Linked DNA regions of Canis lupus familiaris. The protein of the gene in region 2 interacts with the protein of the main gene of each other region in a pairwise test. Links are inferred from orthologs where the notes say so. Each region holds a gene or a part of one and is shown on either strand. Other genes may lie near its edges.

Region 1 (3,651 bases), on a different chromosome or scaffold from region 2:
GTGATGCCAGAAAGCCTCACTCAACTCCTATCTCATGGCCACAGGCTCATGGTCTAACGGTAAATGATTCAGAACTGTGTAAATAAATGGTTAGGTCATGTCTATACGTTTCCTACCTCAAAGCTACCTTAGGTATTTGGGCTAAAATAATTTGGCTTAATACCAAGGCTTGAGAATGTCTTAAATCCACTCCCAACCATAATTTCCATTAATACTAATGGGTGATATAAACCAAAGATTCTTGACAATCAAAATTCTTAGTCGGGATATACTCTGCCTTCCTTCCCTATCTTCTATACAAATTCAAGCCACTGGCAAAGAAACACAACTATACAGTGAAGCCCAATCTCTCTCACCATTTCATTAGGAACATTAAATCACCACAGGAATCTGTCGCCCCAATGATCTTTTCTGGTTCCAGTCCTCTCTCAAAGCCCCGAGCGATATCATTGCTCTGCTATAAATAGAAGATAAAGAAAAGGTTACAGTCTGGAGAAGAGTTAAAAAAAAAAAAGTTTCACAGCTCAACAAAGCCCAACCTAAGTTCATTTTTGTCACAAATTCAAAGAATTCTTAGAACTTAAGAAATACAATACTGGGCCAGCCAGTGACAATGACGCCAAGAAGTATTTTTGTTAGATGCAGTTGTCCTTCTACTACACTTTCACAGGATTACAAGCAGCCCCTAAAACTCTTTCATATCCCTTAAGATATTCTGGAGGCATCACCTAGGAACTCATCTAACCTTCTAATCTAATCTCCTTGATATTATGAATTGACTACTTCTCAATTGTTGCTTCCGAGATGATAAACAAGTCCATGCTTACCCGAACTAAACCCTTTTTCATTTTATAAACTCAAACGTACCGCTTCTCCATCTTAATTTTTTTAGACATTTAGTCTACCTTAACACTGACCAGTATTTTTAATATTTTTCACAGTCGTTTATATTTATGAAAGAACAGAGATAAGAATGATTCAAGGCAGTACCATAAAATAGCAAATCTCTTTCAGAGCTCACATACTGCACAATACCCACACACTTGGAGAAGAGGCCCTGGTCTGTGCCTAACCCCTCCTGATATGCATGAGCTGTTAGCACTAGAAAACAGAACTGGAGAGTGATTTAAAACAAACCAGTAATTTTCTAGATTATTCAAACTTGGTCAAAATGCAATCATGCAATCAAGACAAGGAGCACAGAGTCCTATTCAGGTGTGATGGCACTGATGAGAGCAAAACAGTGAAATTTTAGACAAACCAGGTAATTTTAAAAACCTTATTATGGAAGATAATGCAAGCTTATCTAGTGGTAACATAAAAAAGATTTAAAAAGACTGCCCAAATGAACTAGATCTCTGATGTCCGATTTTCATAATAAAATCTCTTTGATCTGACATTTACTCTGCCCTTTTTTTTTGAGAGAGAGAGATACAAAGTATTCAGGATCCAGGTGGTCCCCAAAGATACCAGAACCAACACTGGGAAGGAAATTCCATGCACGGATCAGGGGAGATACTGACTTAAAAACACTGCCTCTTTTGGGGGCGCTTAAGGGGAGGAGGTTCCCAGATGTGCACACAGCTGCTCACAGCTGGAATGCTGGCACACAAACTGAGTTGTAAATCATAGCTGGCGGCTGAAAACAGTTTGCCACATAGAGAGGGAAGGGAAGAAAAATGTTCAAGCTGCTGAAAAGGAGCCGAGGCGAGGAAAATGCTAAAATCATCACACAGGCAGTAATCTTAAATCAGGCATAATGCCGACTAACAAATTTCTTCTGCAGTGGTCTAAAGAAAGAAACGCAATCCCCTCCTGTACCTTTAAAACATACAATCACCTATCTTCCTGGCTGCCTACCTGACAGCCGCCAGCACTGCTGAGAATGCTGTCAGGGACCCTAGATGAACATTACAAGGGACGTGTGGGGGTTGTTTTCAAGGTCAGCAGCATCAGAACCTGGCCCAGGAAAGAAACTCTCTATGCCGGCCAGTAGGTCTAAGCCAGACTGCTCCTTTTTGAAAGGAGAGAAACCCTAGGTTGAGGAAATACACAACGTATGTCACAAATGGCTAGTCCCAAGTCTTCTGCTGTGCTGTTTTTTGGTCTCTTTACTTAGCTAGAAAATGAATCAAACAACAAAAGCCAGAATACAAAGGACTAATAAAAAAGAAAGAGCAAACCAGGTCTTAGCTCCTTAGAGAAGAGAAGGCATTCTCAAATTCCTTATCAGTACAGTATATCATAATGATATACATACCTCACCAAAACAAAGTAGTTTTAAAAATATGGTTGCAAAAAATAAAATTAACCAGGGAAGCAAATAAAGAGATAGACACAAACCTAGAGTGCACTTTCACTTTTAGCCTCCAATCTTTCACTCTTATTTCAATTCTTTTTGGAAAGCTGATCTCCCATTTTCTCTATCACTTGTGTAAGTCTTTTAAAATACTGATGTCTAGGGTCCAACCCAGAGAAGTCTGAATTTAACTAGTCTGAGGTGTATCTTGGGTACTTGGTCTTTTTTTTTTTTTTTTTTTTTTAAGCCCCTCACCCACCCCTAGCGATTCTAATGTACAGCTAGGGCTGAGAACTAATGTTCTAGAAAGATGGGTATCAAGTAGAATGAAGATAAATAGAGATGCTTATGGTAGGGACACTAGAAAATTCTGAAGTGGACTTATGCTTTTATTTTATTAAATGTTAAGGGTATGATACATCCTTCATCACAAAAGGCTTCATAACCTTGAAATAAATGAAAGGATTGGAAGCTGGGGGGGTGGGTAATATGTGTGTCTGTGTGTGTGTACAGATGGAAAATATACACATGAAAAAAAGAGAAGCAGGAACAGGGCTTATGCTAGTGATTGAGAGCTAAAGATCAGAAGAATTAAAGTAACTAAATCAAACCAAACTTTCATAAACACACGTTTTAAACTTAACAATAGGGATGCCTGGGTGGCTTAGCAGTTGAGCATCTGCCTTCAGCTCAGGGCATGATCCTGGGTCTAGGGATCAAGTCCCACATCAGGTTCCCCGTAGGGAGCCTGCTTCTCCCTCTGCCTATGTCTCTGCCTCTCTTTCTGCCTCTCATGAATAAATAAATAAAATCTTAAAAAAAATAAACTGAACTAAAAAAAAAAAAGATGAAAATTATTTGGAGTATGTAGAAATAATAGACTCAAAAGAGAATATACATGCCACTGAACTGTACACCTTAAAATGGTTAATTGCGTCTAGGCGCAGTCAGTTGAGCATCTTGGTTTCAGCTCAGGTTGTGATCTCAGGGTCTTGAGATCAAGCCCCAGGTCAGGCTCCCTGTTCAGCGGAGTCTGCTTGTGATTCTCTCCCTTCTCCCTCTGCCCTTCTCCAACAATGTATGCATACGTGCTCATTCTCTCTCAAATAAATCCTTAATAATAAAATGAAATGGTTTATTGCATGCTATGTGAATTTCACTTCAATTTAAAAAAGAATTTTAAAGTTTAAAAATAAGTGCTATCTTTGAAACAAAAAAATTAGAAAAAAAATTAGTAAATATTTTATTTTTTACTTTTATTTAAAAAAGATTGTATTTATTTATTCATGAGACACAGAGAGAGAGAGGCAGAGACACAGGCAGAGGGAGAAGCAGGCTCCCTGCAGAGAGCC
Region 2 (4,088 bases):
AAGAAAAAGACTTCTGATTCAAGGCACAATGTGCTTTAAAGCCATTTTATCAAATCATTCCATTGAACACTAATTCCAAATGCAGTCAGTACTCATCCTATTTTTAATATCGTCTACCTCCCGTTAAAAAAATCAGACATTTGAACTCCTAATGAAATACTGCAGACGTCAACCTGAAAACGTACAAGAGCATTGCAAAATTATTTCGTGTGCACAACCCCCCCTCCACTGAGGCAGGCCTAGTGGAGACTCAGCCTGTGCCCACGCTTTCCTCTCCCTATGATGCCTCTCCCTTTCAAGCCCCTTAACTTGCATTTGAAACCCCACTAAAGTGGTCCCAAACTAACCTCTCCAGCTGCTGGCTCCGCACTGGCCACAGGTGGATTCCTACCTCTCAGAGGTCCCCCTCACACTGTGGAGGCCATCCTCCCCGCAGCTATCCTCACCCAGAGGAGCCCACCCTCCCCAACATACTGGAAAAGTCACCCCTCTTTCCCTACACACGAGGGAGTCCAGCTCTCCTATCAGAGAAGCCCCCTTTCCCCTCTTCCCTGGGGAGTCTTCTCTACAGCAAACCCTTTCCCCATCACGCGGAAAGGAGATACCCTCACCATGAAGAGTCCTCTGTCCCCCACTCTGAAAAGGAGGTCCGTCCCCTTCCCTTCCCTCCCCTTCCGGCGTCTCGCGTGGACACCAACCGGGTAACGGTCACTGGCGGCCGATTTTCCCGCGCGCGGGTGCGGCCTCCCCGACAAGCCCCCGCGCGTGCGCGCGCCGACTGGTCGCGATCAGAGGCGCGCGCCCCCCTGCCGCGTCCCCACTTAGCCCCGCGCCCGCCGCGTTCGGAGGCACGCGCCCCCTCCCCTCAGCCCCGCCCAGCCCCGCGCGCCAGGCCCGGGTTCCAAGAGCCCCATCCTTTCCGCGCCAAGCTTCCGGCTCCTGGCTCCGTGGCCTCAGACGCCGGGGCCCCAAGCCCGCGACGCCACCCCTCTAGCCCACCCGGCCCGGCCAGCAGGCCGGCGCCGCTACCGCCACTGCTTCACCTTTTAAATTTTCCGCCATCTTTCCCCACGGCTAACGACATTCGGGCCTAACCGGCCTCGCGAGAAGAGAGCTCGCGCGGGCGTGGCCGAGAACGCGCAGCCTATTGGCCGCACGGCGCCGCGAGCATAGCCCGCGCGGACCAACCGGCGAGCCGTGACCGGACCCCTCCCCGCTACCCCGCTCGGTCCCGAAGGCGGGTGCTCGCCAGCGCTTTCCCAGAGTGCGTCTGGGCGGCAGCCGCAGCGGCGGCAACTGAGGTTGCCGGAGGCCCTACCCGTACGCTGGTCTGTCTGTCACGCTGTCAGCCAATCACGTTGTCAGCCGGCCGCACGGGGGATTCTCCGTCCTGTCAGACCCCCAATTACCACCGTCACTCGGTCGTCACCACATTTTAACCCCAAGCTGGCCGTGACTCCCAAGATGGACTGTCACCACGTACAGCTGCTCAGCCAGTCCCCAGAATTAAATCAGACAATGGGTCCATCACCACAGACAACTGTTTAGTCAGACCCCGGTCCCCCACCCCCATTCACAGGGTCTGTCAGTCAACGGCAGCATCCGTTCGTGGCCAGCTGCGAGTCTTAAGGCAGACACGCATTCCTAACAACTACACTGTTAGCCGGCCTATCATTCCCTCTGGCTGCCCCTTTTTCACACAGTCAAGCAGCCGGTCTCTCCATCTCTTGCTCTGGGGGCAGCCCTGAATCCCCCTTGGGAAAGCCTCTCACAGCCACCAGCCGTGGCTCAGGTGGGCCGTGATTAGGTGAGGACAGGCTGTCATTGTCATCTGATGTCGCCCTCTCAGGCAGTCACACTGTCCAGTGTTGGTCAATATTTAATTCCCTCAGGTTACTCCTCATTCACGCCATGATCAGGCAATTATTCCCTCAAAGAAATAGTCACAGCAACTAAAGCCTCCATGCCACCTGACAGTGGGTCAGCAGTCTGTCACTTCTCAGCGAGGTATGCCCACCATTGGTCAGTCATTTGGTCAGTCTCCGTGGGGCTCCCTCCAGGCGGCTGTGATTCCAACCTGATACAGCCATCCAGTCAGGCAGCTACACTGGTATTTCAACTGGTCAGATGGCCTGTGAGTCGTTCACTGCTCTTCATCGTTTTGTCAGTCGCCAGGCAGCCATTCTCAGCATCTGACTGACCACACATGGTCTATGTGGTCAGGGTGGACAGTCACTCACCAGATACAGTTGCCTATCAGGCAGTCACAGATCTGTCCCTCAGTCAGCCCGAAATTCCTTCAGGGTAGCCCTCCTTTACACTGCATCAGACAGTGTAACATCCAGACACTCCCTCAGGCCAGATGTGACTCCTAGCAATAGTCAGCCACGCACAACATCCCGCCGCCCAGGCAGCAGCAACAGCACACACCACCAGTCAGCCAGCTTGTCAGTCCCTTGGGAGGCTGCCTGTCTTCTACACTATCAGACCACCAGTCCCAGCCAGTCCCAGGTGGGCATAATTTAGTTAGATATTCAGTACCTCCTACCATCAGGCAACTGCACTGTCAGTTCCTCAAAGCGCCCCTTTCCCTGTTGGCACATGAGTTATGTGGTCAACCAAATGATTACAGTTAAGCAGATGGTTGTTCTGTCCACCTGCCAGTCTAGCTCTGAGCTTGTTGGAGAAATAGACGGTCAGTCTGAAGTTCCATCAGCTCCTGCTTACCATGACTGGAACAATCAGCAGCATACGTCCCACCACGCATCCTCTTCCTTCCCTTATTCCTTCTAGAACACAGTCAGATGCTGGTCCTTGCGTGCTCCCAGTCTCCCCCAAAAGGTAAAACCCTCCTATTCCCAGGAGCCTAGTCCAACCCATAAGAATGGCTTAAGGCCCGACTGAATCTGGAGGGGGTGATGTAGGAGCATGTGGGTGTTGGGCAAACATCCCTTTGCCAATTTGAAAGATAAAACTGCCAGTTATGTTACCAGCAAAAGATGAGTTTATTCAGGAATAGCTGAGAATTGCAACGCAGAACAAGCAAGTTATGGCAAAACCATATGCAAGTCCAATAAACAAAGGAGAACATTATGTTATGGAGAAGGAGGAGGTTGGGAGGGGTTTGGAACAAAAATCTATTGGACAACAGCAAGAGTTCATACTGATGATGGTTTCTCATTGGCTGAGTTGCAGGAGTAGTCAGTTTCTTAAAGGAGATAGGATGTACATCTTTCCTTTGTTGGGGGCCTATAATTGACCATTCTTTCCTGTTGAGATACTTCTGTTGGGTGTGTAGCTGAAACTTTTTGCAGTAGACATTGTGCTGTAGGCTTCCTCTACCAGCCTCCCCTTCTAACATCCTGAGTCCATTTAAGTAAGGTTTCCCTTTCTTAATTTTCACACCGTGGTCCTCCCCAAACAGTATATATAATGTAATGAGTAGAGGCATGGATCTTGGAGCCTAGCTACCTGGATTCAAATGGTAGCATTTGCTAAATTGTGTGACCTTAGGCAGTTTCTTCATCTGAAAATGTCAGATGAGTGGCTTTGGGGTGGGTATCTCCCACTCATCTGGAAATCAATCTTTCTGGACTAGCATCTGTCCAGGAGACCTCAAAAGGAAGAGGCCACCCTATTATTACTGTGTCCCAATCCCAGCCATTTGTCTGTTCATTCAGCACTACTTTAGTGCCAACTGTGTATATTGCCTTGCCCAGTGCTGGGGCCAAATAAGGTCTTCTCCATTCCAAGCTGTATAGGTTTGACCTGTTTTCAATGCAAACCCCATCTTTGAGTGTACCACACATTTAGGAGAGGTCACAGGCCATGGGTGATCAGTGTCATGCGTTTTCACAAGCAAACATAACTGTGGGACCAGAACAAAGGTTAAGAAACATCTCCAGCCAGAGATCCAGGAACACTTAATTCTGGAACATCTCTGAATTCTGGCTGCATCTCCCAAGCACTGGTGAGTCATAACTTAATTCGCAGTACTTTTTTGGTCTTCCTTGGTGATACATACAATAATGGTGCATTTTATGATCAGTGGTGACTCAGGATCAACCAGTAGTAGGAAGATTAATAGC

What was found. The genes of interacting proteins can lie anywhere in the genome.
Region 1: the proteins of SUV39H1 (region 2) and CBX5 interact in binary tests that used the Homo sapiens proteins (3 or more experiments, as listed by UniProt). The link is inferred for Canis lupus familiaris from reciprocal best matches to the Homo sapiens genes SUV39H1 and CBX5.

What each region holds. Positions count from the first base shown.
Region 1 is NC_049248.1:45,611,191-45,614,841, forward strand, and holds part of CBX5 (chromobox protein homolog 5), read right to left. Parts: intron 458-3,651; coding exon 357-457; intron 1-356. UniProt on the Homo sapiens protein: Component of heterochromatin that recognizes and binds histone H3 tails methylated at 'Lys-9' (H3K9me), leading to epigenetic repression. In contrast, it is excluded from chromatin when 'Tyr-41' of histone H3 is phosphorylated (H3Y41ph).
Region 2 is NC_049260.1:42,096,474-42,100,561, reverse strand, and holds the start of SUV39H1 (histone-lysine N-methyltransferase SUV39H1), read right to left. Parts: upstream 2,825-4,088; 5' UTR 2,768-2,824; coding exon 2,728-2,767; intron 1,217-2,727; exon of another isoform or gene 1,063-1,216; coding exon of another isoform or gene 1,044-1,062; intron 1-1,043. UniProt on the Homo sapiens protein: Histone methyltransferase that specifically trimethylates 'Lys-9' of histone H3 using monomethylated H3 'Lys-9' as substrate. Also weakly methylates histone H1 (in vitro).